Linked DNA regions of Schizosaccharomyces pombe. The gene in region 3 interacts genetically with the main gene of each other region. Each region holds a gene or a part of one and is shown on either strand. Other genes may lie near its edges.

Evidence for each region.
Region 1: mutations in mga2 (region 3) and ptc3 together harm fitness more than expected from each alone (negative genetic interaction), as found in Schizosaccharomyces pombe (2 studies listed by BioGRID).
Region 2: mutations in mga2 (region 3) and ubp8 together harm fitness more than expected from each alone (negative genetic interaction), as found in Schizosaccharomyces pombe (2 studies listed by BioGRID).
Region 4: mutations in mga2 (region 3) and kap113 together harm fitness more than expected from each alone (negative genetic interaction), as found in Schizosaccharomyces pombe (2 studies listed by BioGRID).

What each region holds. Positions count from the first base shown.
Region 1 is NC_003424.3:817,806-825,005, forward strand, and holds ptc3 (protein phosphatase PP2C catalytic subunit Ptc3), read right to left. Parts: upstream 3,980-7,200; 5' UTR 3,900-3,979; coding exon 3,572-3,899; intron 3,324-3,571; exon of another isoform or gene 3,314-3,323; coding exon 3,240-3,313; exon of another isoform or gene 3,201-3,239; coding exon 2,358-3,200; 3' UTR 1,963-2,357; downstream 1-1,962. Other genes in the region: AAA family ATPase Vps4, read left to right, coding at 312-335, 402-513, 624-1,110, 1,170-1,845; smn1 (SMN complex subunit Smn1/Gem1), read right to left, coding at 4,527-4,624, 4,684-5,044; SPOM_SPAC2G11.09 (Ca(2+) transporter), read left to right, coding at 5,934-5,979, 6,089-7,200. UniProt on the Schizosaccharomyces pombe protein: Dephosphorylating regulator for many key proteins. Has an important role in osmotic stability and cell shape control. It may negatively regulate the osmosensing signal transmitted through wis1 map kinase.
Region 2 is NC_003424.3:577,844-585,170, forward strand, and holds ubp8 (SAGA complex ubiquitin Ubp8), read right to left. Parts: upstream 3,638-7,327; 5' UTR 3,548-3,637; coding exon 3,452-3,547; intron 3,374-3,451; coding exon 3,241-3,373; intron 3,141-3,240; coding exon 2,453-3,140; intron 2,408-2,452; coding exon 2,110-2,407; intron 2,106-2,109; exon of another isoform or gene 2,057-2,105; coding exon 1,992-2,056; exon of another isoform or gene 1,947-1,991; coding exon 1,877-1,946; 3' UTR 1,510-1,876; downstream 1-1,509. Other genes in the region: protein Mcp7, read left to right, coding at 678-743, 838-1,404; ysp2 (peptidase family M17 cytoplasmic leucyl aminopeptidase yspII (LAP yspII)), read left to right, coding at 4,649-6,190. UniProt on the Schizosaccharomyces pombe protein: Histone deubiquitinating enzyme component of the transcription coactivator SAGA complex. SAGA acts as a general cofactor required for essentially all RNA polymerase II transcription.
Region 3 is NC_003424.3:4,121,807-4,130,425, forward strand, and holds mga2 (IPT/TIG ankyrin repeat-containing transcription regulator), read left to right. Parts: upstream 1-3,276; 5' UTR 3,277-3,405; coding exon 3,406-6,861; 3' UTR 6,862-6,999; downstream 7,000-8,619. Other genes in the region: protein Gid5, read left to right, coding at 343-2,712; shelterin complex subunit Pot1, read left to right, coding at 7,723-7,791, 7,838-7,958, 8,031-8,619.
Region 4 is NC_003421.2:1,294,325-1,302,795, reverse strand, and holds kap113 (karyopherin/importin beta family nuclear import signal receptor Kap113), read right to left. Parts: upstream 5,872-8,471; 5' UTR 5,839-5,871; coding exon 5,612-5,838; intron 5,535-5,611; coding exon 4,502-5,534; intron 4,446-4,501; coding exon 3,756-4,445; intron 3,706-3,755; coding exon 2,866-3,705; exon of another isoform or gene 2,772-2,865; coding exon 2,610-2,771; 3' UTR 2,219-2,609; downstream 1-2,218. Other genes in the region: protein mug150, read left to right, coding at 1,842-2,156; aminopeptidase Lap2, read left to right, coding at 6,882-8,471. UniProt on the Schizosaccharomyces pombe protein: Functions as a component of the nuclear pore complex (NPC).

The DNA.
Region 1 (7,200 bases), 3.3 Mb from region 3:
TGTTGACGATAGCGAACAAAAAAAAATACCCCGTAAAAATGCAGTCAAACTTATTCCTTTAGAATTGTTAGTGATGAAATGTAATTTATCGTGCGATAGAGAAAAATATTGAGGATGGTTATTAGTAGCTAAATGTAATGTACCTCTAGGTACTTAATGCCATCATTAAGCCATTGTTGCTACTGATTGTACTACTCACACCAAAACCCATTATCCAGAGCAGACCCGTTCAGTAACTTAGCTTTTTAATTTCATTGGATTTTCTTTTAAATCTACCTTTTTCATCATTAATTTGATATTTGGCTTCTGTGATGTCCAATCCAGATTGTTTAAGTGTAAGACTGTTGCATGGAGTAACTCGTCCGAATTTGAACCTTTGTCTAACATTCTAACTACTGTAGAAAGCAATTTCATTAGTAAAAACTGCTATTGATAATGACAATGCCGAGCAATATCCTGATGCTTACAAATATTATCAAAGTGCACTAGATTATTTTATGATGGCCCTAAAATGTAAGTTACTCAATAGTTTGAATTAGGGTGAGGATATATTGTCGCAATGATTCATAAGGAAATTTATATTTGGATCTACATTTTCAAGTTATTGTTTGCTAATATTTCAGATGAAAAAAATGAAAAATCTAAAGAAATAATTCGTTCAAAAGTTATCGAATATCTAGATAGAGCGGAGAAGCTCAAGGTTTATTTACAGGAGAAAAACAATCAAATTTCTTCAAAAAGTAGAGTCTCTAATGGAAATGTAGAGGGGAGCAATTCTCCAACCGCTAATGAAGCGTTAGACTCTGATGCAAAAAAGTTAAGAAGTGCATTGACTAGTGCAATTTTAGTAGAAAAACCAAACGTTCGTTGGGATGATATAGCGGGACTAGAAAACGCAAAAGAAGCTTTGAAAGAGACAGTTTTGCTACCTATTAAGCTGCCGCAATTATTTTCACACGGTAGAAAGCCTTGGTCAGGAATATTGCTCTATGGTCCTCCTGGTACTGGTAAATCGTACCTTGCAAAAGCAGTCGCTACTGAAGCTGGTTCTACTTTCTTTTCGATTAGCTCCTCAGATTTAGTTAGTAAATGGATGGGTGAAAGCGAAAGGTTTGTTATTCTACGTTAAAACTATTTACTCTTTAATATTTACATGACTAACATTATAGGCTTGTTCGTCAACTTTTTGAAATGGCGCGTGAACAAAAACCATCTATCATTTTCATTGATGAAATCGATTCACTGTGCGGAAGCAGAAGCGAAGGTGAGAGTGAATCTTCTCGAAGGATTAAGACAGAATTTTTGGTACAAATGAATGGAGTTGGAAAGGATGAAAGTGGAGTTCTGGTTCTGGGTGCCACGAATATTCCTTGGACTCTTGATTCTGCTATTCGCCGACGTTTCGAAAAGCGTATTTACATTCCCCTGCCTAATGCTCATGCCCGCGCTCGGATGTTCGAGCTTAATGTCGGTAAAATACCTTCGGAACTGACCTCACAAGATTTCAAAGAACTTGCTAAAATGACCGATGGCTACTCGGGTTCAGATATTTCTATTGTTGTTCGTGATGCAATAATGGAGCCTGTAAGACGAATTCACACAGCTACCCATTTCAAAGAGGTATATGATAACAAGTCTAATAGGACCCTTGTAACTCCTTGTTCTCCTGGTGATCCTGATGCATTTGAATCTAGTTGGCTAGAGGTGAATCCTGAAGACATTATGGAACCAAAACTTACTGTTCGAGATTTCTACAGTGCAGTTCGTAAAGTCAAGCCTACGCTTAATGCTGGTGATATAGAAAAGCACACACAATTTACAAAGGACTTTGGAGCAGAGGGATAGTAATATGATAAAGGAGCTATTTTCGCTTAGTTTAATGATACCATTATTGTAAAGAAGTATAATATCATGACTACACTCACAAATGTTGAATCACTTTAGTAAATTATGGAACTAGTAGAATATTGAAGGGAATGTATATTGCTTCGACAATATCTATTAGGGCAATCGGAAATTAGTCTGGGTATGTTTACTCATGCCAGAGAAATATTTTCCATAATCTTAACTGATTTTGAATCAGGATTATAAAAGACAGTATTCGACAAAATTGATATAGAAATCGCATGCTATCAAAAAGTGCAAAGTAGCAACGTACCAAAAACCTTTTCATTCTCGGAGGTAATCGGTATACGTCGCAGGCACGTATTATACGAACAACAAAAGAAAAGCATGAAAAAATGTTGAAACAAAACCGCCTAGCGTGACTTTTATAATAAGTCAACAAATAATGCTAATTACGAGGAATATTCCTAAAAGCAAGTTACATTGTGTAATATGCGTGAAGTAGGGAATAATCAATCTGCTGCAGACACAGCCTCCTTATGATCATCCGCAACATCTTTGTTAGAATTTACGATATCGGTTTCACTTGAAGAATTTTCCTCCTCGGCTTTATGAGGGAAAAAGTGTTCTTTCCATCTGAACCCAGCTGCAAGGGATCCGTTGGTGGAATCATCTTCCTTAGAATTTTCATTCGCATCTTTGTCATATCCATCAGATCCATTTAACTTTACTTGATGAAAATTAGGTGGGACAATAACTTTCTTATTGTTATCGCCACTACGCCATCCTGGGCCATGATTTTCGGCATACTCAGGAGGAGCGCAGGGTCCGTCGTTAGCGGCAACTCTATCTGCAATCTTCTTATACCATGCTGATTTATCGTTTTCTTGCAATAAGGCAACTATACAAACAGTCATGTTGTCACAACCAAGGCCGGTAGTTTCGGTGTCACTGGCTATGCAGTTATCCATTAAATTTTCAGCAATCTTCTCAAGAGAGGTTCCAGCAACTATGCCACGTCTAACAAACTCGATCACTTGCTGCGAAGTCTTGCAATCCCAAATACCATCACAAGCGAGTACGACGAATTCATCATCGTCAGTAATCTCATGTACAACAACATCCGGTAAGGCAGTAACTATTTGTTTTTCTGGTTCTAAATTACTGTTTTTGAACTCAAAATCACCGATAGCTCTTGACAAAGCCAAATTTCCATTTACACGGCCAAAGTCTACAAAGCCACCAGCCGCACAAATACGGGCTTTTTCGGCTTCATTTGAAGGCTTATGGTCTGCTGATAGAGGTTTTGCAATTCCCTTACTGCCAAGGACAGTTCTTGAGTCACCGGCATTAGCCTACACAATTAGTAAGACTAAACAACTTCCAAGACTTACACAATAAAGTTTATTTCCAACACGAAGAACAACAGTGGCCGTGCAACCTGATGGATCCGTATGAAATTGATCATCTGTCAAAATAGTTAGCAAAATGCAATGTAGTGAAATGACAAATTTTTTTTCTGAAACCAAACTAAATGTAACAACTTTTCAACATCAAGAGGTAAACATTTCTATTATCTTGGTAACAATTTTTCTAAGCATTAACTAGACAAAAGAACAAAAAATCTATAAAAATTTCAAACACAAAATTCATCAATTTTTTGGCGACTTTAAAATGGTTATGATATCAATGAAAACAACTTTATCATTGTTAACAACAAACTTACCATCCAAAATAGCTTTATCAGCATTTAAAAATGAAGATTTCAAAGCATTAACAAAATCGCCTTTCTGAAAATCAGGATTCTTTTCAAGAATCTGAGGAAGATTGCTTCCACACCATTTCGCGACTTTGTCTCCACCGTGGCCGTCATAAACCGCAAAAAAGTCGACCGGGTCTTTTACTGCAGAGCACTCCATTGAAAGTATAGCAGAATGAGCATCTTCCATTGAGATACGCCATCCTTGCATGCTTGAAAGTCCATAAAGGACGAACTCATTGCTCCCGTTCACCGAGTGCTTCTCGGTGACTGGCTCTGATAATGTCTGACCCATTGACAGCTCTTGCTAATAGATGACACAAATTTTCACGTTTTCTTTTTGTGTCGCTTCAAAACGGGTTATGTAGTAGTGATAGGTAAATCGCTAGTAGGTGGTGGAGCTTGTCGGAGGGAGTGTTGTGGCACCCTCTACAACTACATCACCACCGTGGAGACGAACGATAGTTGTTAAAAGACTATGGAAGGTAACAAGATTAGCAGTAGTCAAGGCATATATGTAAACAACAGAATAAATGGTATCAAGGACTAAATACTTATAAATTTCAAATGTTCATTAAAAAACATGTGTAAACATAGCATATCCTATAAATTGATTTTTCAATGGTTTGCATTTTACTATGACTACAATAGAGACAAAAACAACGCTGAGTAGAATGCCCCAACAAATTCAGCAACTTGATTCAGAAAAAATTTCTATTAGGCAAAAATGATATTATTTTGATTCAATTAAAAATTCCATTGGATTTAATAAATGACCAAATAAATTCTACTTATTAGAAAGAAAATTGAAATAGAACTATTTGATAGGAGTAATAAATCTTAGCAATAGCAAGTAGGATAACAGTTTTATAACAACATCAACAATGAAGATATACATAACTTTGAAAAATAGCACAAGAAGCTAATCTTTACGTTGCTCACTTTTAGCAAGTCCTTCAGCTAAACCTGTATAGTAGCCCGCATAGTACCAGCTCATGATAAGCTTTTTGTAAGTCTCGTCTAAATCATTATGTTAATAATAGAGAGTCATAAATTTTCTTAGAAGACCTTTTACTTACCATATGTTAACCCTCTTATAGGGGGAGGAACTTCCATAAACTCTTGATGTGTCTCTGCTGCCCTTGTTTCAGGCTTTTCGTCGCTAAGGCCTTTATTATCTGCAAACTGTTGGATATGTGTATCTCCTTCCAATGTCGTCTCTGTTTGCTGATTTATCATCTGCTCACCTTCTTCTAGCTTACTTATTGATTCTTCTGTCCGTGCAGCTGAAATTAATTTTTCACCATCTAGCCTAGAATCCGGGTCCGATACTCCTCCCTTTGCTTCAATACTATGATACTTTTTGAATTCATGTAAAGCGGTTTCAAAGGCATTTCTGAGCTCTGAATCATCCCACACTTCTTTTTGGCTCTGGTCCATTTTTGGTACAAGTTGTAGATAATCTATTCCTGTATGTCTTTCTTTGTACCTTAAGAAAGCTTTATTAACAAGTAGTTTCCAACTTTGTTAACTCTTATATTAATTGAATATTATTAAAGTGAAAATATTGTTTATAAAGCACAACGCGTATAACGATAAACAGTTTGAGCTCGGCGATTCCGCTTACTACAACAATTATAATCTGCTGTGGTAACTTAGCTCCTTGCCTTAACTATCAGCCGCCTTAGTGGACAGGACTACAAGAATTCGAGGTCAAAGATATAACGAGGTTCGCACATGGCGATGTGAACTCGTGGAAGTATTGTGAAAGAATGTTTATTCCAATTCATCTTTGTTTACGATTTTGGCTTTATTATACCAAAAAGAAAAAGGAATTGTATAAGCTACAAAAATCAACCTAAATCAGTTATCTAATATCCACACGAATAATTCATTAAATGCTACATGCGCTAATATGGTTTAGCGAGGACTTCTCAGTAAGTTAGCTTTCTGGGATAGATTTTAAACTACCTAATTGAATTTAAGGTAGCTCCACGTAATTACGTTACATATTTTTATGCATCGTCATCTTAATTTACGTTAAGTACATATCGCATTCTGAAAGACCATGCGAATGGGTATTGGATGAGTATCGTTCTACTATCCCTCCTCTACATACATTCATATTTTAAAGATTTTCGTTCATGAAAAACTATCATAACATATTTCAATAGTGTATCTTTTGATAATTTCCTTTTTCCGTTACTTTTTACATGCATATAATACTTGGATAGATCAGATTTTTCTTGTTCTCGATTTTCTGAAACGATCGTTCATTCATTCCTCGATAATTTGACGAAAGGACCCTTAAGTTTGCTACTTTGCAATAATGGCTTTCAATGGATATGGTATTTTCGACAGTGATCCTAGAAAAAGTAAGTATACCTATCCTTCCCTCATTTGTAACAAAATTGCTAACGTTGTTTGAATCTTCGATCTGCGGGTGTTAATTCCTACAGATTCGAGATTCATCGCTGAAAACAGATCCATCGAGCGATTTAAGAACTCAATTTTGGCTCGCCTTTTTACTTGGAGCCTCTGCATGCGTATTCTTTTGCTTCTTTCGTAAAAGATGGAAAGTACTATATGCCCCTAGAACTACCATTGAAGGTCTCAATTTACCTACACTTTCTTCATCGTACTACAAATGGTTAATGGATTTAGTAAACATCCCTGATGATGTAGTGCAAAATTGTGCTGGTTTGGACGGCTACGTTTTTTTATTGTTTTTTAAAATGGGTATAAAATTCCTTTCTTTTGCTTCCCTGCTTGGCGTTTTGATTATTATGCCCGTCAATAAGCATTTTCGTGGAGATGCATTCGGGAATATTACTTTGTCGATGCCTGCCAAATCTGAATATTTCTTCTCAAGTCCACTTGTCAAGAAGTCAATTGTACAATCTCCTATTATTGCTAATGGTAGTGAGTTAAATGTTGGTGTGTTAGGACCTTCTTTATTTAATCCAATTGGTAATTTATCTGATATACCAGGTCTTCCACAGCCTGGTGATGGATTTCTCTATCTTTACGTTCTTTTTACTTACTTTATTTCCATTTTTCTTCTTTATGTTCTTTTTTCCTCAACAAAATCGATTGCTGACATTCGTCAATCATATCTGGCTCGTCAAAATAGATTGACGGACAGAACCGTTTTTATATCTGGTTTACCTAATGAACTTTGTTCAACGGAAAATTTAAAAGCATATTTTGATAAATTAGATGTGGGTTCTATAGACAGTTTAAGTATATGCCGAAATTACTCATACATGGATATATTACTGTCTAAAAAAAGTAAATACGTCAAGAAATTAGAAAAATATTGGTCTATCTATTTAAGTAACTGCAAAAAGCTTGGAATTTCCACTTTACCTCCTTCGAATTATCTTAGTCCAAACAGAGCAGAACTTGAATCAACACCAGAACAACTTTTGGAGGTTCCTTGGCAACATCATCAATGCCATCCGTTAATAAAAACTCATTTTTTTGGTATTTTTGGTCAAAAGATTGACGCAATCGATTTTTATTCGGCTAAGCTTTATAAAATAAGCCAACAGATTGAAAATGCTCGTTCTTTTGATTATCCTACCACAGGTCAG
Region 2 (7,327 bases), 3.5 Mb from region 3:
GATTAAAACACATTTAGCTGCGAACATGGCACACCGGTTAATACCCAGCCATAGTTGAAATTAGTAGACAAATTGACTGAGTATCTCTTATCAAAAGTCAATACACATTTTGTTTGCGCTGACATTAAACATCGTTGCTCTTATGAATGCTATGTGTGTGTGTGTGTGTATGTGGAAATGTGTTAGTCAGTCAGTGTTTGCTTGAAATTCGCTGTGTGAAAATAATAAAGTGAAAAATAAATAAAAGGTTGTAAAACCGAATTCGTACAGTAAGGTGAGCGCCGACAAAAGCTCTTGAGAAAAAAAAAATCATGCTGCTATCAGTATTCGAGTCTTTTCGATTTCGTGGCAAAAGGAAGTTTTCCTCACATGTTTTTGTGCGACAATAGCCAACCCCATTCACTTAATTCCTTAATTTCCTCAAGGGTCAAAAAGATTAGGATAGCTGAATAACGTTTTGCATTGCATTATGTTGCAATACGATAGTAAGACATTATAGGGTATATATCATAGTTGGAAAGTGCGGATGTGCATTTTAGCAGACTACGTTATCATTCAGTAAATGTTTGGGATCTAAACTCTCATTTCTCCAAAAGATTAGAAAGCATCTACTTCTTGCATCACAACAAACTTTTAAACTCCATATTTGTTCAAACTAATTAATAAATTTTTAAACAATGCCTCCCAAGGGACTATCGCTTGCAGAGAAAAGAAGAAGATTAGAGGCCATTTTCCATGACTCTGTAAGTTCGTGATATGATTGTTCAAGTGCCAAAACATGATTTTTGCCCATTCGTGTCTCACTTTCCACATTGCTAATCTATGTTTTTTTTATAGAAAGATTTTTTTCAACTAAAGGAGGTGGAAAAGCTGGGCTCTAAAAAGCAAATCGTTTTGCAAACTGTAAAGGACGTTTTACAGTCTCTCGTTGACGACAATATCGTCAAAACGGAAAAGATTGGCACTAGCAATTACTACTGGTCTTTTCCCTCCGATGCTAAACGTTCAAGAGAGTCAGTTCTCGGATCTCTTCAAGCTCAACTTGATGATTTGAAACAAAAATCTAAAACTTTAGATGAAAACATTAGTTTCGAGAAATCCAAAAGGGATAACGAAGGAACCGAAAATGATGCCAATCAATACACTTTGGAACTGCTACATGCAAAAGAATCAGAACTAAAACTTCTTAAAACACAACTTTCAAATTTAAATCACTGTAATCCTGAAACCTTTGAATTAAAAAATGAGAATACTAAAAAGTACATGGAAGCTGCCAATTTGTGGACCGATCAAATCCATACTTTGATAGCTTTTTGTCGAGACATGGGTGCCGATACCAATCAAATTCGTGAGTATTGCAGCATTCCAGAGGATTTGGACGATCTGCAACTACCGATTTTGTGAACTTGACATGCTTCCTTAATTCAAAGAGTTGTTTTCCTTATTAATATTTTAAAATTTTATACATTTTAACAGTTACATATAAAATAGCTTACTCGACGACAAGACTTAGCTTTTAAAAGATAAAATTATAATTAGTTGGAATAATATTAAACGAAACAAAACAAAAGTCCAAATTCCTCAAACTTATAGTATTTGTTAACTTTGAAAGAAAAAAAGCATGTTTCTTTTTTTATAGTTTTAACTTTTTTTATAAATTTACGTAAGGTCATTAATTAAAATGCGACTGTTGTAACGGTTCCAAATCCAATGCCATTTCTGGCCTCAACAATATGAAATCTAAAAGCTTCTTCATGAGTTAGATTATCGAAGTGATGATGTTTCATAACCACATAAATAAGGAACCTTTGAGTCAATTACTTTACATGGTTCATAATGATTGTTCATGAACGGATATCTGATCGCATAATCTAACTCAATTTTCCGTTTTAACAGTCATTTCATCACTGTATAGGATTTGACGCTCATGGTAAAATAATAGGTAACTATAATCTGGTTAGTATGTAAAAAAATAACAGCAAAGAGCCTACGCTTGAGAATTTAAGACCTCCGATTCCTTTACTTCCACAATTGTGGTGTCATCCAGCAAAAACCACTACAAAAATTAGTAAAAATTTCCATAAAAAATTCAAAAAAAATTTAATATACTTGATTTTGGTAGTATGTATAGGCAATATAGTGCCCTGTGTCGAGAGTTCCTTTATGACACACAACTGAGTATAATTGATAATCCACATCATCTTGATTAAAGTTGTAGCGCATTCTTAAAAATGCTGGATAAGATACTTGCTTATCTATTTTAGTTGACATGGCAAAGTTATTTTGTTCAAATCGTTTCAATTGCATGCAAATAGTTGGAGGTAGTTTGTCAAAGACCAATTGTTTAATAGCATTTTTTGACCCGCAACTATGACAGCTATATTGAACTTTCTCTTTGGAAACAAACCTAAAATAATATTTGTTAAAAAATCTAAAAACGAGCAAATTTTACCTTTCCAAACATCCTTGAAGTGTTGGCTCATTGATGTCTAAACTAATGTCCATCAAAGGATCCACAGCCACCCGCTCCTTCTTGCAATCTAGGCATGTAACAACGTTTTTCAGAGATCCACTAAAAATACGATGAATAGGACAAGTGCACGGCATTGATGTTCCTCCTCCGCTTTCCGTATGCATTTGGTCCAGCAAGTATACAAAAAATTCGTGGCCATCTTGCTGGGAGTAACCACATAAAGATTTGCTGAGTTTCCACATAAGATTTAAGACAGCAGTGGGACCGTAAAAAGTAGATTTGTTTTTAGAATTATAAATAGATGAAAACATATCGTCAATGGCACAAGTCATGCAAGTAGGTCGCTTACAATCAGTAGAAGTATGAAACCCACTGAAAAACAAGTTTCGAACCAATGGATTATGCAAAATACTTTGTAAAATGACGCTCATGAAACAAGTAGCACCCAAGTTCTGGATCCCCCTCAAGCCTGCTGTTGCGCAAACTGGAGGGTATTTTCGATAGGCTTCTAAGCAAACCATTTGATTGTACTTCTCGGGAAGTCTCTTGTGATCACTTTGCCATGCCTTGATATTCTTGATCTTAAAACGAAGGGTTTCCAACTCGGTCTGATAAACGTAGTCTTGACAGCCAAAGCAGTAGGTATGGCCATTTTTTACATCCACGCCTAAGAATTAGTAATTGGTATTCGGGAATTGCATCCTAACTCGATATTCGCAAAAAGGTTTCGTTGCTAAATCAATAGCTATGTTTTCAACTAAACGTACCGATCATATGAGTGTGCTCCATTGCGTGTTCTTCACCATGATGTCCCCAAAGACATCCCACAGAATGACAACTCAAGCATCGAATACTCCGCTTGTTGATGCGTTTGCAAGTACTGCAGCGACGTGGGACAAACTAAATGAAAGAAATGTTAAAAGGAATCGAATGGAAAAAGAAAATTGAACTGTATGAAGTGTTGTTCACAAGCCTTACATGACAACTGAATATCTGGGTACAGATCTTTTGATAGTTTTCAACATCCGCCGGTTTAAGTTTAAGATGCTGGCAACCTTCTACATCCCCAGGCATCCTTGATACGTACAAAATTGGCCTTTCAGACTAAAAAGCATCTGCTTCGATGCAGGGTGAAACGACAACAATAGACGAACTCGCTATTCTGGCAAAAGAACATTATTTCTCTTTGCTTAAATTTGGGCAATTAAGGATGCGGTGTACAGCGTTAAGAGCCATAAAGTACTCATAGTGTCTGCACTACTAGATACCGATTTCGTATAAAGAGCTATCATAGCTACGCTAAGTCAATTGATAAAACACCAAAATAGATGTTCTTCGTAGTTCTTGAGTGTCCTTGGTTTTCCTCTTTAAAACATAAACTTGGTAAATTCCCATAGATTTGGCTGTTGAGTCACTGCAAAATAAAAAAAATTACTGCTAGTCCTTTAATCACGGTTGAATAGATGAAATTGTTAATTTTTTAAAAGCTTGGTCAAATTAGACTAATGCCTCTATTAACGTCGAACGTGTTTAAGTGTACGCTTATGTTTGTTGCCATGAAACGTTTGCAGGGCTAAATATAAAACCATATATGACTATTTACCGTGAGCATCTTTGTAATACAACCGAGTCACTGCAAGCAGGTACATGTACGAAAATTTTTGTCTATTACATTTGTATAGAATTTATTACTTAACAATTGACTAGGGGCAGATTTTTGTGCCGAAACAGTTTGTGTTACCCTAAATAGAGATTGTAGGGCAACAATACGTCTGCAGAAGTTCAAATATATATGTAGCAAATGAGTGTGACTTACTTAAAAATTGGTTTTTGATCAAGAAATAAAATCCTTTGGTGCTTTTTCTTTTTTATGTCTAGCCTTGTTGAATGTATTTTTCCATCACAATGTTGATCTTGTCTACTCAATAACACACTAGACTATGTTAAGTACACTTGCCCTTGCCCAATCTGCAATCGGACATCGTATTTTATTTTTGCATACTGAATTTACGTGTATTCGTAGTTTCACGAGTTAACGATTTTCGAATATCCAACTCTCATTGAACTTATAATAATCCGTAATCCTTTACCTTTTTTTTGATTACAAGTGTCTAATTAAGTTTTCTAAATCAAGAGAAATCAAAGATACAAGCAAAGCTTTTTTTCTTACGTACAATGAAGGGTTTAGGTCTAAGTACGAGAACCTTTAATTGGAGCTCACTTTCTTCCATTCTTTTACCAAGAATTCCTTTAGCTACTACAAAAGCCGATTCCTTGATTTTGGCTGTTCGTCACGATAAACAAGTTTTTTCTGAAGATTATCGACAAGTTGTTGACCAGTATTTTGAAACATCTCCCAAAAAAAATGACATTCGTCTCTTTTGGAACACTCAGGGTTTTGTTCGTCTTGCCATAGTCCAGCTTGAAGAAAACGTTTCTGAAAAGTCCGTTCGTTCAGCTGCTGCAGAGGCAGCTAAGATTTTAAAGTCGAATGGTGCAAAGTCGATAGCTGTCGATGGTATGGGTTTTCCCAAGGATGCTGCCTTGGGTGCTGCCTTGGCCACGTACGATTTTTCTCTTCGTAGAGACCATTTGAGCGTCTATCAAGATGAAAAGGTGGTTGAAAAGGAAAATTTATTTACCTCTCCTGCTCCTGAAAGGTTAACTTTCCAATTGCTTAGCAACACATCTGAGAAGAAAACTGCAACCGCAGAGGAGAATGCTTTTAAGGTAGGTTTGATTGAAGCAGCTGCTCAAAACTTGGCTCGTTCTCTTATGGAATGTCCTGCTAATTACATGACTTCTCTTCAATTTTGTCATTTTGCTCAAGAGTTATTCCAAAATTCCTCAAAGGTTAAAGTATTCGTTCACGATGAGAAGTGGATTGATGAGCAAAAGATGAACGGTTTACTTACCGTGAATGCTGGTTCCGATATTCCACCTCGTTTCTTAGAAGTACAATACATTGGTAAAGAAAAATCAAAAGATGATGGATGGCTTGGTTTAGTTGGAAAAGGTGTAACGTTTGACAGCGGTGGTATCAGTATCAAGCCTTCTCAAAACATGAAGGAGATGCGTGCTGATATGGGTGGTGCTGCTGTTATGCTTTCCTCTATTTATGCCTTGGAACAACTTTCCATCCCCGTGAATGCCGTGTTTGTTACCCCTTTAACTGAGAATCTTCCTTCTGGCTCTGCTGCTAAGCCAGGAGATGTTATTTTTATGCGCAACGGTCTTAGTGTAGAAATTGATAACACTGACGCTGAGGGTCGTCTTATTCTTGCCGATGCAGTTCACTATGTCTCTTCTCAGTATAAGACCAAGGCTGTGATTGAAGCCAGCACATTAACTGGTGCTATGCTAGTAGCCCTCGGTAATGTATTTACTGGTGCATTTGTTCAAGGAGAAGAGTTGTGGAAGAATCTTGAAACTGCTTCCCATGATGCTGGAGACCTTTTCTGGCGTATGCCATTTCACGAGGCTTACCTCAAGCAACTTACAAGTTCTTCAAATGCTGATTTGTGCAATGTTAGTCGTGCCGGTGGTGGTTGTTGTACAGCGGCTGCCTTTATTAAATGCTTCTTAGCCCAGAAAGATTTGTCTTTTGCTCATTTAGACATTGCCGGAGTTATGGATAAGCAGCTTAATTCTTGGGATTGTGACGGCATGAGCGGACGCCCAGTTCGCACTATTATTGAAGTCGCTCGCAAGTATTAGCTTATTTATTTTCTTGGCTATATGTGCAAACTTTATGTTTTTACTTATTTACTGTTGATTACACCAATCTCATTTTTCAATGTCCTTGTTAAGTGTATGTCAATGATATGTAGCTATCATGATTTTATTCTTTTTAATACTGTTTTCCACAACCGTTCATAACGGTTGTAAGGACCGAGTCTTTCTGATGGCTCTGGTTCTGTTTCCTTTAAAAATAAAATCAATTCGGTTGAAGTCTCATGTTGTTAAATTTCACTTTCGAAGTAGCGAATTTTTTTTTTCTATTTTGAATATAGATTTGTTTATTAAATGTAGTAATCAATTTACTCATGACTATTACTTTTGTCAAACAAAATCATAATACAAAACTAAATCTTTAAAGGTAGAATATTCTCCTGTGCGAGTTTACAATACTTTGGGATATGATCAAATCAATTTTTTTTAGATATCTGTTGAAATTTTTATAACAGTAATTTTGTATTATTTATCATACTATTTATTAGCGTTACCTGCCCTCTTAAATGTACACATCATGTGGGGGTGGGGGAACCAGTGCTGGAGATCACTTCTTGCTATACCGTTTGGCTCATGGCAACTATTGAGGATAGCAAGGAGCGTTACAATTTGCAAATCAATATGATAAACAGAAAAACAACAAGTTGAAGCTTAACACTGTAGCAATATAACAATGAAAAAAATAATCAGAATTAAAGCAAGAAGCCTATAAATGGTCCATCAATTGTGAAATCGATATTGCTAGATGTCAGGCAAATCGTGAACTCGGTTGAAAAATGTCGTTAATATTCATGTGAAATCATAATTACAGCAATATGTTCAAAGACTTTTGGATACTTTATAATAATGAGGATTCTATTTTTGAGTGGTCACATGGTCTCGTAACCATGAGGTACGCCTTACTTTTACGGACGAAACAATATTTCACATTCAGCTCTCAATGTTAAGTATCCAAACAAACATGGTACAAACCAATAAAGCATGTAAATTAATAAGCTTGAAATAAGGAATAGTCATTAAATTCAGTTTAGACATAATGTAAAAGGTATCAATTTTGTCTTTGGTATAGATACAATTAAGAATTTCGAGACGGAACGTTCGGTGATGTAGAGTTTTCATAAT
Region 3 (8,619 bases):
TTTGCTTAGATATAAGCACAATTAAATTCATTACAATTGTTAAGATAAATATATAAAAAGCAAATAATACTTCTAATCGTTTGTACTTTTTGTCTACTTAAGACTATAAAACTAATATGTAACTTTTCTGTAAGTATAAAATACGTATTGAGGAACCCTCTTACACATAACATCACCACCATTCTATAGGAATTGCATCTTATACATTACTCATTGCATAGATTAAATTGCTAATAATCTACTTTTATTAAAAAAAGATTTAATCAGCTCATTTTCACGCTAGTTTTCCAAATTTACTGAAGTCTCATATTTTTTGCAAATATCTTCAAGTTTTGTTCATGAATGGTCGCCATTAACGACTCTACGGATTCTTCGTTTTTTAAAGAAAATCCTAAAATATTTAAGGATGAGCATGAGTTGTTGAGGTATATCGTTCCTTTCAAAAATTGGGTAATTGGAAGACCCGACAGAAAAGAATATGCAATTCGCAATGGAGCTCCAAAGCTGTTGCTTAATTTATTTTCCTTAGAAAATTTATCCATGAATGAAAAATATCAAGTTTTTGTTGTTTTAAACTCCTTGATGAGTGAGGACCAGGACCCTTTCGTTCAATTTTTACGACACGAGGATCTTCTTTCCGTTATGCAAATGATTTCGAAAAGGGATAGTACACCATATGGAATGCTGAATATCACCCTTAAAGTTTTTAACACAATGCTGAGTTTTGACAAAGCAGCAGAATATGTCACTCAGTTACATTCGGACTCTATAATTAATCAAATGTTTGACTTGTATACTTTACCCTTGAAAGAACAACCTTCTCTTGATGTGTTGCGTATCTCAAATTTATCTTCTAAGATTTTGCATCGTCTTATCCTTTATAACTCTAAAGTTGGAGACTCTCCACGATTCTGTTCTGCTTTATTTCAAATCACTAACAGAGCTACCCAATTGCGCTTGTATTCCAGAAGAAGATTTTGGAATGATTGCTCTATCTTAATTACTAACTCCCTGGGTACTTTGAATGCTTATTTAAAACAGCATGTGAAGTCTTATAAACAAAGAGAGAAAACCCGGCTAGAATCAAATGGTCACGTTTCGCCTCGCGATATGGATTTAGATGAAATTGAAAATGTTTTTGAGGGAAACAAGGATAAGGTCGCCTTATTTAAATCAGAGATATTTGGGCCTAATGGTGATGAATATATTACTCAGTTATTCTGTCTCGTTAGACAGTTTGATCCTTGTATTCGCTTGCTCTCAATTTCTTGTTTAGTGACCCTATACAAGGCAGGCATCCTTTCTAAAAATCAAACTAAGGAGATTCAAATGATAGTAACTCCCATTCTCATCCGTTTATTTTTTGAATCTCGAGAAGCAAAACAAATCGCTCCTCGTATTCTCGCCATCATAATCAATGAAAACGAAATTATGCAAAAGACGGCTGTAAATGCAGGTTTTATTGATGCTGCCAAATATCTTCTAGAATACGCAACTAAAGAAGAAGAGAATGAAATTAATTTTTTATCCGATGAATTGCAATCCAGCGTTTGTTTTAATCTTCCTGCTACCAAAAAGGAGCAAAAAAACCTAATCTTAGAATCAGTTTTGCTAGCCGTTGCTGCATTAACAACTTCTAAAGATGAATACAGAAAACTAATAGTTGATGCTAAATATTTGCCTGTTATCATTAATGCTTTGAAAATCAATTCTAACAGCGTGAAAAAGGCTGCTTGTGAATGCTTATTAAGTCTCTCGAGAAGCGTTTACATTTTACGTACGGGCCTTGCCGATGCAGACGTGAGCGAACCATTAATAAAGTTGCTTTCTGACCCGGATACTAGAGTCAAATCGACTGCTACGTCTGCCATTTGTAACTTGGTACTTAAGTTTTCTCCTTTGAGAGAGAAATTCCTTACTACAAATTTCATTGATACTTTGATATCAAATATTAGTACGAAAGATAGCAGTCTAAGAAAGAAGACCGTGTGGGTTCTGCGGCATGTTGTATTTGGTGATGATGAGACGATCCAGCTTGAACCTTTAAAAAAGATCGGTGCTTCAAAGCTTGTGGAACTTTGCAATGACGAAGATCTGGGGGTCCAAGAGCAAATGTTGCAAGTGCTGCGAAATTTTACATGTCAGAAAGAAGAAAGCGTGGATTTTCTTTTGAAAATGGTTCCTATGGAGTTGTTAGCAAAAATTTTGCTTGAAAAATTAGAAAGTAAAAATCCTATCCTAATTGAACCCAGTATTTACATTTTGGTGCACATCGCTGCCAGCGATGGTGAGCTTAGGGATTCTATCCTAAGGCAAACCAAACTACTACTATTGGTGAAGGAAATTATGCTACAAGAAGCACAACGTCTCAAGCCCGAGCAAATGTCCACAAATGTGTCATCTCCGGAAAGTGACAGTGAAATGGATTTGCAAGAAGATGATTTTGATAGGGAAATGCGTCCTCCTTTCGATATTTATGAAGAGGACACTTATGAACCAAACTCCGAAATTCTGTTGGCCGGAATTTGGCTCTGTATTAACATTCTATGGCCCAAACAATGTACATCTCCAAGCCAGGAAGATAAGGAAAGAGCAAGTATCTTACAAAATCTCGGATTTGGAGAATGTTTGCAGATGCTACAAAATCACTCATCTCCTGATGTAAGGGAACGTGTCAAAGATGCCTTGATGTACATCAATGTAACCGATTAATTTCTATTACGCTTTTCCGTTGTCTTTGCCGACTTGATTGGAACAGTCTAACAAATCGGAGCCATTTTCGCATTTAGTATTTCTGTATGTATAAATGTGTGCACAACTCTTGCAGCTGAAGTTAACAGGTTGTTGGATTGAAGTACTTTGAGAATGATCGTATATAAAAAGATTTAATGATTTATCAAAACGAATAAAATAAGTATTATGAACATTCAACTTATATGTATGCGGGATAGTGTAAAAACCTATTTAACATTGTAAAAATTTTTTAAGGAAAGTTGTACTTTGACAAGAACAATTTCATTTACATGTATTCTACTAAATTTATCAGAATGTTGGGAATTTTTTTGTTGGTATATAATGCCGAAAGGAAATTAATCGAATATGAAGAAAGTGGCGGAACTAAAAAACAAAACCCACAAACTAATTATTTAAATAAATATAACATAATAACTTGTTAAAATAAGAGTAATACTAGAGAATGTGTGCTCAAGTGGAAAGCATGTAATACTTGCACAACGTGATGGAAGAGATTAGTGTAGTAGCGCAGCGACAGCTTCCAACAACCAACTAATCGAGGAGGAAAGCAAAAGTGAGAATTGAAAAGAAGTAGTACATTAAAGACCTTTAAATTCTTTGAAAGAATTGCCTTTATAAAGGTAGTCTATTGCATTTCAAAGTACTCTCAAGATGAATTTAGAATTTTCTTTTGGAAATTTGATCGCCAAAAATACCGAGAATTCGACTAAGGAAGAAGGAACTTGGGAAGTAAACAAGCTCATGAAATTTAGTTCAGAGGAGGGGAGGTCTTCCTCTGATGATTATATGTTTTCCTCTCCCGATTTTGAAAAAGCCGGAAACGGCGATGCAGAAATGCGTGAATTTTTTAACTTCGATGGATTGCCGGATCAAGGTCTAAATTTGCCTAGTATAGCTCCTCCGTCTTTATCCCATGCCAGTTCACCTAACTTATCGAATTCACAAGATGAAGCGGAATGTTTACCGTCTGATCGTCAGCAAGACTACATCAATCCTAGTTTGCATTTGAACAGAACGGTGTTTCCTACTCCGCAACATTCTATTTCTGATGCTAATTTTCTAGCTAATACCGTTGATCAACCTTTGGGAGATAATCCCATGTTTGGAGAGTCGGATGTTTATCTTTTAAAAATGGATCCTATGAAACAAGCACCTTATGAAGCTGGATTTAATTCTGTAAAGTCATCGGGCGCCATCGAAGATCCATTACAGTTTAGACAGCCGATTACCATGTTGGAAACTCCCTTCAACGAATCTATTAATACTCTTACGCCATATGCCGAAGATTATGCATTTTCCTCTTTAAATACGTCTGCACCGCCTCTTTCTAATAAGGAGTACGCGTTCTCAGTTAATCATTTACCAGCTATCAATGAGCACAAATGGAAATCTCGGGTGGAAACTAACATGCTTTTTGAGTTGCGGATCAAGAGCAACGATAATCAAAGTGTTCCGTTTGAATATCTTCGCTTGCCAAGTTGGGCTCACCGTGAAGACAAAAAGCGTTCTTCGAAACCTCAGCCTTTGCAACCCGATCCGGAGACCGTCATTCATCTTGTACCTACCGTTCTTGCAGGTGACAAAAGCTCAGTTGTTAAGACTTGCTGTACTCGCTGTTTACTTCGAGAAAGGAAGCGCAATGCTCGATCTCAAGCAACAAAGGATGCTTGTATGCCTAACTATACTAAACTGAAGGCTTATGAGCGTAACATGACTGATGCCTCTCCCGAAGAAAAGCAGCAGTTCAGGATCAAGCTCTTAAATCAATTTCCCAAACTTGAAGACATAGATGAAGATAGAATGATAATGGTTTTTACTGGACCTGAGTACGTTCGTTTGCAATTGGATGGAAATGAAAGAGTTGCTCACATCAATGCACGGATTACATGTTACTCGTCTCATCAATCATGCCCTTACTTTCACATCATATGGGACTTATACTCCATGTCACGTTTGGTGGATCGTCTTGTTTTTCCAGAGCCTGTTACCGTTCTTGATGATCATAAAAGTAGAAATCTTACGAAATCAGAAAAGACTGGTAAGAGCAATTCTCAACAAGCTCCTTCAAACCATGTTCTTTCTAAAAGCAATACTGTCCCCAATCTTGTCACTGGTTTCCCTACCCGTTCAGATAATCCACCAAATGAAAAGCGTCGTCGAACATCCTCGAGTGAAAATTCTAGAGCACTCGACATACAACTATCTGCTAGTGACTCGCATTCACCTAATTCGAAAAGCACTTTGAAAAGTGTTGAGGGCTCAGCCTTTAGTATGAGCAAATCCCCTTCTGTGCTGAGTATGACTACCCCAAGCGGCGTAAGTCCTTCCATTTCAAAGAATGGTTTCCATGTTGTTCGAGTTCCCAGCGATGCCGCTGGTTTCCAACAAAGACAACAGCAAGAGGAAGGAGTGCTTGAAGCCCATACAAATGAAAGTGCCCCAATAGCCCCATTCCCTTACTGTACAGATGATTTCTCGTTTTCCGTTGAAGAAAAAAGTAGTGTCAACAACTTGCTTACACAATTTGATGAGGTTGCTAAACCTGATTTTGTAAGTACGCCGATAAAAGAAAATGTTGATTCTTCTTTTATAAACATGACTCCACCTGATGTTTCACATGCTCCCTTAATATCTCGGATTATTCCTAATAAGGGTTCAATCATGGGAGGTTATGAAGTTACAATTCTTGGCGCGAACTTTTTTAATGGATTAGTCTGTTTATTTGGTGACAACCCAGCTGCTGTAACTTTTTCGTGGAGTGAGTCAACGATTATAGCGACTTGTCCTCCTGCAACTAATGCTGGAACCGTTCCTGTAACCTTTCAGAACTATAATTCATCTTCTGAAGCGCCAGTAATGTTTACTTATGAAGATAATTTAGATAATGAACTTTACAAATTAACTGTTCAAGTTTTAGGCTTAAAACTTACTGGATCTATTCAAAACCCATTAACGTTATCCAAAAAATTGTTGAGTTCATGGCGCGACGATTTTGCTCAATATATAACAAATTCTATTAAGCAGCCTCCTAACAGTGAATCTAAAGGTCAGTCTAAAAAAACCTTATTGCATGATAGCAATATGGAATCGCTTAAATCGGTTATTTCGCGGATTGTGAAAAAAGACAGTAATCAGTCTGATGACAGTGTTGAAAGTACTATCCTCGCAGCATTTGCTCTTGTTACAGATACAACGACACCATACCTTTCTGATTTTAGTCTTGTTAACGAATCTGGTAGGTCACTTCTCCACCTTACTGCTGCCTGTGGATTGTCTAATGCTTCGACGTTCTTATGCAACGCAGGATGCGATGTTAACAAAAGGGACGCACTTGGCTATACACCACTGCATTATGCTTCATTGTATGATCATAAAGACATATGTGTTAATTTACTTTCCAACGGTGCCAAGCCTGATGTTATAGGAGCTAGCGGTAAAAAACCGATAGACCTCTCCTCTTCTGAGCCTATAAAACTGGTCTTTAAGGAAGCAAATAATGAACAAGCCCAAAGTATTTCTCGCTCTCTTATTAAGGATTCTGAAGGCTCCATTAATACAAATGAAACCTTAGAATCAACCAGTATTGTTAACGAAATTGAGGAATCTGCTGTTCAGACCAAGTCATATAGTGAAAGTATGTGGAATAAAACTGTTACAATGTTTCCATCGCTTCAAGAACTACCTCAGAATTATATGAGTGAAGTTCCATCCATGATGCAAAAAGCCATGCTGTCAACCTTAAAAAGTATATCGGCCATTCCCGATGATGTACCCCCTCCTTATTCTGAGTTTGCTGATGATACGACAGCGCAAGCTGGTTCTAGTAAAAGAGATAGCGCTATATCTGAAGATCCCGATCATCACAAAAGTGTTTGGTGGTCTTTGAGATGGCAATCTCGGCTTGTTGGTCGTGGAAAATCTACTGCTCTTACTCCTGAAGAAACCAGAGCAATACAGGAGCAGGCAAAGACACTGAAAAAGGCAGGAATGGACTTTATGCTATTCTCTTTCTGGTTACCTGCCCTACTTTTGCTGAGTATCTTTGGTCTTCGAAGCTATGCTCAAATGATCGGGGGATATTTATATCGCTGCATAATTGGCATTTAGGTTTGACGAACAACCATGCATGTTTTTTTCTTTCTTTTAGTTTTATTCTTTTTTGTAGATTATGAGCAAACTACTGTCAAAACTTAGGTATTATGACAATGAAATCGTATATATTATATTCGATTGGATCAATTTTTTATTATATTGAAAGTAATTGCTTATTTTGTAAGTTAAACTTACATGGGTTTAAACGCATAGAGCAGGTTGGCGCTTTTAAAACCAAAATAGATCGTTGCAGGTTTGCTGTTCTGGATCGTGAATGCAATACCTTAGGAAAGTCTTTTAATAAGCTATCGCTTTTTGCATTGCATTCTTTTTCTAAACTGAACGTTAGATTAGCTAAAGTAAGCGTCTTGAGTTTTCGAGATGAACCGCATACATTAAAATTTTTAAGTACCAATTGGCATGAACCGGTATGCGATCTGCTTATTATAATACTAGTAAATCTTGATACTCGGCAAACTCTTTCAATAATAGCCTAGCAGAAACTGGGATATGTCTAAAGTTTTACAACTGCGCTCAGCTTAAGGACTTTACGGCGATCCATTTAATAGCTAGCCATGAACACTCATAACCTCAAGATTGAGGAGTGGGTCATTCTTTTGCTTGATAAAGAAACAAATTCATTATTGGTAAAATAAAACTGAATAACCCTTAGTTCATCCTAGGAATTTGAAGAAGGGGAATGATCAAGCTTGAACAAGTAACTCTCACGCAGTCTATTGAATAATCTGAAGGTTCATCACTTTCAAGGGGTTGTCTTGGTTTAAAAAGCTTTTACCAATTCCATTTAGGTTTCTGAGAAAGGCTAAAACTCATTTGTTGTTCTTAAAGGATATTTGGATCATTCGTTGATCAAGCATGGGAGAGGACGTTATTGACAGTCTTCAGTTGAATGAGTTATTAAATGCTGGAGAATATAAGATTGGAGTGAGATATCAATGGATTTATATTTGTTTTGCTAACAATGAAAAAGGAACTTACATTTCAGTCCATTAGAAGCTCTCAAGAATTACAAAAGAAGAATACTATTGTCAATTTGTTTGGAATAGTAAAAGATTTTACCCCTAGTCGCCAAAGTCTACATGGAACTAAGGGTATGCTTGCTTATCATGGTGGAAACTATACTTTTTATTTTTCCAGTCAAGAGCTAATAATCATGTTTTTAGATTGGGTAACCACCGTATATTTGTGGGATCCAACATGTGATACATCAAGCATCGGACTACAGATACACTTGTTCAGCAAACAGGGAAATGATTTGCCTGTAATCAAGCAGGTGGGGCAACCGCTTTTGCTTCATCAAATCACATTAAGAAGTTATAGAGACAGGACTCAAGGTTTGTCTAAGGATCAATTTCGATATGCACTTTGGCCAGACTTTTCTTCTAATTCCAAAGATACTCTCTGTCCTCAACCAATGCCTCGTTTAATGAAAACGGGAGACAAGGAAGAGCAATTCGCCTTGTTGTTAAATAAAATTTGGGATGAGCAAACTAATAAACATAAAAATGGCGAATTATTGAGTACCTCTTCTGCTCGTCAAAATCAAACTGGATTGAGTTACCCTTCTGTCTCTTTTTCTCTGCTATCACAAATAACTCCACATCAACGTTGTAGCTTTTACGCTCAGGTAATTAAAACTTGGTACAGTGATAAAAACTTTACTCTTTATGTCACTGATTATACGGAAAATGAGCTTTTTTTTCCAATGTCTCCGTATACTAGCTCCTCGAGATGGAGGGGCCCTTTTGGTCG
Region 4 (8,471 bases), on a different chromosome or scaffold from region 3:
GTGCCAACACATTTGCTTCCAAATTCTTGACACTGATCTATCCGCATCCGTACTCTTGAACTAAACCAAGATAACAGAGAGACAAGATGATAGAAAAAAGAAAAAAAAAAGAAAAAAAAAAGGAATTTCGCACAAAAAGAATGAAAAAAAAGATACACTTGCGCATCCGCCAAATTTAACTTAACGACTTGAAAGCGAAACCCGTCACCTGAATGATGTAGAGAATGAAGTCAAGCATACAATCACCGCCTAGCAGAAGGGGAAGGAGACGTGATATAGAATAAGGTAAAGATGAAATCAAAACTGATCATCAAGGAAAGAGCAAATCTCCGTATGAAAGCACCTGACGTAGAAGAAAAAAAAAATCCAAAAAAAAGTCCAAAAAACTAGTCACAGACTTGGAAAGAAAATAAAAATGAAATAAAAACACAAAAGAAAAAAATCGCTTCTTGCTTTTCTTTTTTTTTTATTAGAATTCAGTAATCTTCCAAGACTCGATATTGTCCAACCGTCCTAATTCATTCGTCCACTTATCTCTCCTAAGATCCCTATCCCCAACCCAGTCCAAAGGTAGGAAGTGTAACGTCAACAACACTCTCCAAACGCAAAGTCTTTCCGATACTCATCTCCAGCCTCTAATATCCGCGTTTACATCCACAATCCAAACAAAAATCCGACTCAAACATTACCCACACGAACGAGTGAGCAAACATTTACAAACGTACATTTTTAAGAATCATATAACTTTCCAATACTGGGTACCCTTCCAATAGTCTCCAAAAAATTACTAAATTAGCTTTTCAATTGATTTTCACAGAAATATATTGTTGGTGTCCAACAATCGTGGTATGCGAAAGACAAGAAGTTTATGTCGGCGGATTTGCCTACTTTGACGTCCTTCGTTAACGTACGTCATTGGCATCATGCGAGCCGCTCGTTCCAACTCTGTATTCGCTTACGATGGTGGTGACGTTGCGCATCCATGACTCGATGAGGTTTTGCGGTAAGCGACACGGTGCAATGGCGAGGTAAAAGTGTAAAGTGGGTGGAGGTCAGCATGACATCAGAGACAAAATAGGAGGATATTGGTGTAGGAAGGGAAGAGAAGAGGATATCGTTTATAAAGAGGTTGTTGGAGGAATGCTAGGGGGGGAGAGAGAGAGAGAGAAAGAAAAAAAAAGATAGAAGTATGGATGGCATGGATGTGTTCTATCTTGTTTTCGATTGTATACTATGAAAGATGGATAGAAAGAATTTATTCGAGATCTAATATTTTTTCAATCTCACTCATCCATCCTCTTGCAAACCTTTTTTTCTTTTTCATTCACCCATGAATTTCATCTGATACAGCAAATCAACCAATCTTTCCTTCCTCCCCTCCATTGCTCATTTCACTTTTGAGTGGCTTCTGCACTGTTTGGCGAAATAAATTTCCATGTTATTCCATTTTGAGTTGATTAGTTGAGTGATTTTCTTCTGTCGTGAAAATTTTCAACAAACTTTATCTGTCTATCTCATTATCCTTGTTGATGCAGCGATCCATCTCATTTCTGTTACTTGCAATTGATTTCTTATAATTAGCAAAATTTTCATAAGCCGACTGGCTGGCTTCATTACATATCCATCATCTTGGTGTACAATGAGATCGACGCAATTGACCTGATAAAAACGCTGGATGAAAAATCGCCCATTCCTCATTGTTGAATGAATGAGATGAGATGATGTTTTGGCTGTTGTCGCCTGACTTCAAGATCTAAAATTCATTTGAAAAATCAAAAGTTCTTCTTATAGGGCACGGCAATTGCGCCCTTTCCATACAATGCAAGCCCTTAAGTATAGAGATGGCGAGCTTGTTTATCATCATGGATAAACGCTTCGCCGTCTTTGCCTCAAGTGACAAGCCAAATAATTGTAGTAGAAAGAACATGTTTTTTTTAAAAAATATCATTGTACTGTCGAATTACCTTTACCTTTTGTATAAGGCATGGATTGTTTGTACTACCATATCTCTTTGCTGCGATTTTCCTCTGTTCAATTTTCTCTTTATAGCGATTCCATACTTTACTGAGATTCTCTACAATGATTCCTCTTTACTATGGTTTCTTTTCGTATCACTGTGTTTTATTACGTTATCATTCCAATCTTTGGAAATATAGCTGACAGCTTGCACAGGCTGAGGAATCGCTTCTTCAATAGTCATAATGAATATAAAGTTAATGTTGATTTTACCTGAATATGTTTATATAAGAAAGGCCTACCTAAGAATGAACAGTTCTCTTATTACTGTATTCATGTTTATACTTATAATTTGGATATACTGGCTAAGACGATATTGGCGGATAGGAAAGGCAGAGTCGTATTAGAATAAGTGAAAAAAGCGTGCGACAGCTAAAGAAATCGCATAGGAAATTTTTTAGAAGGGTTTTTAAAGGTAAGTTTTGTTCCTTCTGAACCGCAGTTCAACCAAATTTCCCATCCATCATGTTAGCTTGAATTGGGATTTTAATCAGTATAACAAAAATCGTAGCAACTGGCTTAATTTAGATATACAAATTAACACCAACTTTTTTATCATGAAATATGATGTTGTTTTTACTGCTTCTTTTTTCCTATAGCATGGATTGAAACTGTTCTAACAACGCTGGGTTGACCGTCGATAAATATTGGTTTTGAAAATTCTCCATTCCACCATTAGCGTCTCTGCAAAACATAAATACAGAAATAAAAAATGAGCGAGAGTTAACACTATGAACGGGATCCTTTAAAAGCAGCTAAAATAAAAGTTAGTATTAATAAAACAAAAGCAAACAAATAAAACTTTTTCATTTACACAATAAACATATTTCTAGCCTCTCATTCACTTACCTGCTTTCGTCGAGTCATTTCTTCTGAGGTTTCATCGAGATAAAACCCAACAGCCGAGTAGTCATCATTTTTATAGTAAATCGTTGCATCTCCATTCGCATCCTCTTCCACCTCACTCAAAACGCTGAACCATAAATTCATGATAGAATCCAACACTGCCAAAACGTCGGGATGATTTGTTCGCAGCAGAGAGCTGAGGGCGAGTGTGTTCAGTTTTCGATCTTTCGAGTGGTTTATGTGGTCGTTTAATAAAATCCAGTTGCCGATAAGCATAGCTATGTTGATATTTTTCGTTTGACAAACCTTCAATATTAATTCCGGCTCGCGCAATGAGATGCGTGACACCACCAATAAATATTCAATCAACACCTGAGGGTGTTTATCATTTGTTGCAATGGAGAGTAGGAGCCTCGACAGAAGTGAACTGTTCAGCAATGATTCGTAAATCATATCCATCGGAGTAGTTTCAATGAGTAGACATACAGTTTTACATAGTGCTTGCAAAGTTTCGTTTTTTACATCGTCTAATAAGTCGTTCAACTTTTCAAATATGGTAAATGAGTAATCCTTCATCAAAACGGTATTGTCTAAAAGTTGATAACTGCTTACTATCATTAGAACGAATGGAAGGGTAGACGTGGCCTGTGAAAGATGGTACAATAAATGAGGGATAAGTAGGGTAAAAGTTTCTGGCAATTTTTGTATGTACATGAGAAAGGTGCTCCACAATTCCATTGCATCCGCTTCGAAAATAACATGCTCTGGAGATTCCGGATTTACACAATATTCTATTACCGTATATAAAAAAGTTGAAAATTCAAAAGATTTTGCTTTGATCGCCTAGAAATTAGTATAAGAAAACAGTCTGTTGTATATAGCCAAACACTTACATTGACGAATTGGTGCATAACTGCCAAAACTCGTGCTCGCAGCAGCGGTTCCTTTTTCCAACCATCCCATAATTGAGAAAGGAGAGAAGCAATGGTACTTTCCATGGGAGCAACATGTTCTCCGGCCCTTGCCAATAAAGTACCAAGTAAAGACAAGATGGAAGTCCTAGCATCGACTGATTCAAACGCTTTAAACAAAGAAAGAACATGGACAAACAAATTTTCTTTGATAGAAAGAAATGAATTCTCAGAAAAATTCCAATCATCTAAAACGGTTTTGAAAGCATCTATAGTTGTTAAAATGACTACGGCGTCATTGCAAGGATCTGTTAAGTTGAGAAATGAGCAATACAATTTGTAAATAACCTCAAGGAGTTGTTCTGAAGAAGAATCTTCAATCCATTGCGATAAAAAAATGGCAATTCTTCGTCGATACACTCTAGATATCCCAATATCATTAATGGAAGCCATGTTGGGAACTGCGGCTTCCTGTAGCCATTTTGCAAAAGGAAAAATACTCTTCAATTGGGTATATCCAACTCCGAAAGAACTGATCAAAGTGTCTTGTTGAACTGCTTGTGTTAACGTCTTTGGACACTCAAAAACGCTGTAAATCATATCCTTGAACGGCGAAACGATAATATCTCCATATGCATCAAAGAAGCATTTTAAAAGTTTTTCGGCACAAGGCTATATTATCGTTAATGATAAGCTTATCAAAAAACCCATATTCATAATCAACTTACCCTAACGTTAAACTCAACATCCTGGGTCGATTGTTCAAGGACCCATTGTTGTGGGGAATCCGTCCATTCTTCAAAATCTTCTTCTTTTAATATTAGTAGTTTGGTGATGAGTAAATCCAAAAGATTGTTTATACGATTATCTACGAGAAATGAGTTGTAAAGAACTTGAGCCGTTTCGGGGTGCGACGATTTAGTATTGCAGAATTCTTGGATGACAAGGATAAATACTCGTAAGCTCATAATCACAAGTTTTTCAAAATTTTTTGAGCTCTCTTCAAACTTTTCTTTGTATGAAGAAAGATGAGAACTGATTTGACCCAAAAAATCATAGTGCAATGAAATGTAATCAATAGTAGCTGGAAACTTAGTCAAGCATGGACTATAGAAAGAAAAATCAAAGAATGGCTTATTGAATAAGAAAGCATGTGCAAAAGCCATTTCTAAGCACTCCCCAACTACTATCGGAGACCGCGAGGATTGAAGCATTGTACCAAGCATACTCAAAAGTTTTCGCTGATGAACAGCACAAAAAGCTAACATACGCTCACTAAATTCACTTTCACTAGGATTTTGGAAACCAAAAACAACCAACCGTCTACATGCCTTAAGCGTGTATCGAGATATTTGCATATAAGACAACAAAGTAGAATCTTTAATTTCCTTAGAAGATTCAAGTATCATCATCCAGCTTGATAAACTAGAATGTAAAATGGGTTGAAGAATCGTAAGCAATTCTGGAGCAAGTTTGTAAAAAATCTGTCGCGATCTCAAAAGACGATTCCCAGCCATTGCTTTGATAATGTGATGAAGAGTAATTAGTAATCTTAAAGCCACATCGTAATCTCCTGTACCCAATGACTGCTGTAACTTGCCTAAAAGATCGTGAAAAAGAGAAGGCCATTCGGTGGGATAATCCAATCTAGCAATTCGAGAGACGACCAGCGCATTTTGAATAGATAAGAGGTTTTCAGATTTTATAGATCCTAAAAGAGCATTACATCGTATAAAGTCACGTTCTTCTGGAAGTAAAGACCTGCCAAACAATCATACATTAGCAATTACGAAAGTCTAACAGTACAGGTTGATTCTTCGAGACTACTCCTAACTTACATTTTTGTATTTTTCCTCCATATTATATCTATGGAGTTCCGTAGTTGAATGATAGCAATCCATCGTAAACTCATGTCATTTTGTTTATCCAAAAATATACTGTACAGCTTGCCAAAGAAACCTGGTTCCTTTTTCCAGTTGTTTAAATGCCCTTCAGCATCCTTAACAGCAATGGGATCTTGACTTACAGCACGTTGTAGTTGATATACTACAGGATCTACTTGCATTCTCCAAAAAAGTCTGAGACTTGGTTTTTGCTTGAGCAAGGCTGTACCAGTCGCACTCAGTATATGTGAGCCAAAGGAAGGAATTATAGGAAACACTTAGAAAGCGCTTCGATTTCGGAAATGGTGAAATAATTTTCAAATTAAAAACGTTGCGTTCAGTTTTTTTGGTATTTTAGTATCAGAAGATTTTGGGTTTTTTGGTTACCCTTCGGAGGTCGAGCTGCGATTCAAAATTCGAACTTTTAACTCTGTTCGTAATTGAAGAAATAGAAAGATCACAAAGACTAATACTTCTATTATTGCTCATTTTTCTTTCTATAGACAACTAATTCATATTACAATAAATGATAATGTAATATTGCCTTCTTTCTGTTATCTGTTAACAAACGTATCTTATTAAAGAGGGAATGACCAAGATTTGTGGAATTCTCTCTCGTTTATGCCTAAACCTTATGAAATTACAAATAAATGAATAACATTTTTTTACTATTTTATTTAAAATAAACCAAAATCAATAATCGTAACAGTTATTGTATTATTTACATTCCCAAGCTAAGGGACGCTGTCTCTTTTATAATAACTTATCATTGGCAATGATCCTTTCAAACATTCTTGGTAATTTTATGAGCACAAAAATAATAATTATTTACTTTTCAAAGCCCTCTCTCCAAAACTCCTATTCAACAATAAACTGTTTTCTTTTGTGAATTTACAAATTGCGTTGCTCAACGAAAATAAATGTAGTGATACATAATGATATCGATAAAGTAGCATAACGCGCTGCACCCATATCCACACATGTTGCTACTCATCGTATTGCTGTATGATCGCTTTTCCTATTCCTTCCTTTATAAAACTGTGATTAATCTGTTTTAACTATTTTATACTTAATATTTTTATTTACTCAGTAGCATAACTCATATTGCTAAAGCTGAGATCGTTGTACTCGTTGGTTTTATCTAGGCTTCTAATATATTGAGCGTTGTTTTCGTTTAAAGAATTCGTTTGTACATTGTCCTAAATTCCTTCAATTAATTTTAAATATGAAACTTCGTTTGGACCCTTCCACTCAATCTAATTATCATGATGTCTCAATCAGTAAGCTCGATTGGCACGCTCGAATTGACTTTGACCAAGAGCTGCTCCATGGTAAAGTATCCTTTGTGATTCAATCTGCTAGGGTGTCCCAAGCCCTGTCCCATATTATCCTTGACACTTCTTACCTCGAAATCAAGAATGTAACGATTAATGACATCCCTACTCCTTTCCGTGTTGATAAGCGGCGCGGATTTTTGGGTTCAGCTTTGCATATCGTTCCCGCTGATGAAATCCCTTCCTCAAAATCCTGTATACTTACAATCTTATATTCCACTACTAAGGATTGTACAGCACTTCAGTTTTTGAAGCCTGAACAAACGATAGGTGGTAAATTTCCTTATGTTTTTTCGGAATGTCAAGCCATTCATGCACGTTCATTCATTCCCTGTCAAGATACTCCTTCTGTTAAAGTTCCGTGTACTTTTAAGATCCGGTCCAAACTTCCCGTAATCGCATCGGGTATCCCATGTGGAACAGCTAATTTCTGCAATGGCTCTTTGGAATACCTGTTTGAGCAAAAAAATCCAATCCCTAGTTATTTATTTTGCATTCTCAGTGGTGATTTGGCCTCCACAAATATAGGTCCACGTTCTTCTGTATACACAGAGCCTGGCAACTTGTTAGCTTGCAAATACGAATTTGAACATGACATGGAAAACTTTATGGAAGCCGCCGAGCAACTAACACTTCCTTATTGCTGGACACGGTATGATTTTGTCATCCTTCCGCCTTCCTTCCCATACGGAGGTATGGAGAACCCTAATGCTACGTTTGCTACGCCGACACTTATTGCCGGAGATCGCTCCAATGTTAACGTTATTGCTCATGAATTAGCCCATTCTTGGAGCGGTAATTTAGTTACTAATGAGTCATGGCAATGCTTTTGGTTGAATGAAGGTATGACTGTTTTCTTGGAACGCAAAATTTTAGGCCGTCTTTATGGTGAGCCGACTCGCCAATTTGAAGCCATTATTGGCTGGGGTGAATTAGAAGAATCGGTTAAATTGTTGGGTGAAGATAGTGAGTATACGAAGTTGATTCAAAACCTCGAAGGAAGGGATCCCGATGATGCCTTTTCCACTGTTCCTTACGAAAAGGGCTCCAATTTCCTCTATGAAATAGAGAGGGTTATTGGTGGTCCTTCTGTTTTTGAACCATTCCTTCCCTTTTACTTTAGGAAATTTGCAAAGTCTACCGTAAACGAAGTCAAATTCAAGCATGCACTGTATGAATACTTCTCACCTCTTGGGCTTGCATCTAAGTTGGACTCGATTGATTGGGATACTTGGTACCATGCTCCTGGTATGCCTCCGGTTAAACCACATTTTGATACAACGCTTGCAGATCCTTGCTACAAGCTTGCAGAAAGCTGGACTAATTCTGCTAAAAATTCTGATGATCCCTCCAAGTTTAGCAGCAAAGATATTGAAAATTGGTCAGCGGGCCAGAAATCTTTGTTTTTGGATGTTGTTTATGAAGCTGTCTCTTTTCCTCACAATTATATTAAAAGAATGGGTGATGTTTACTCGTTTGCC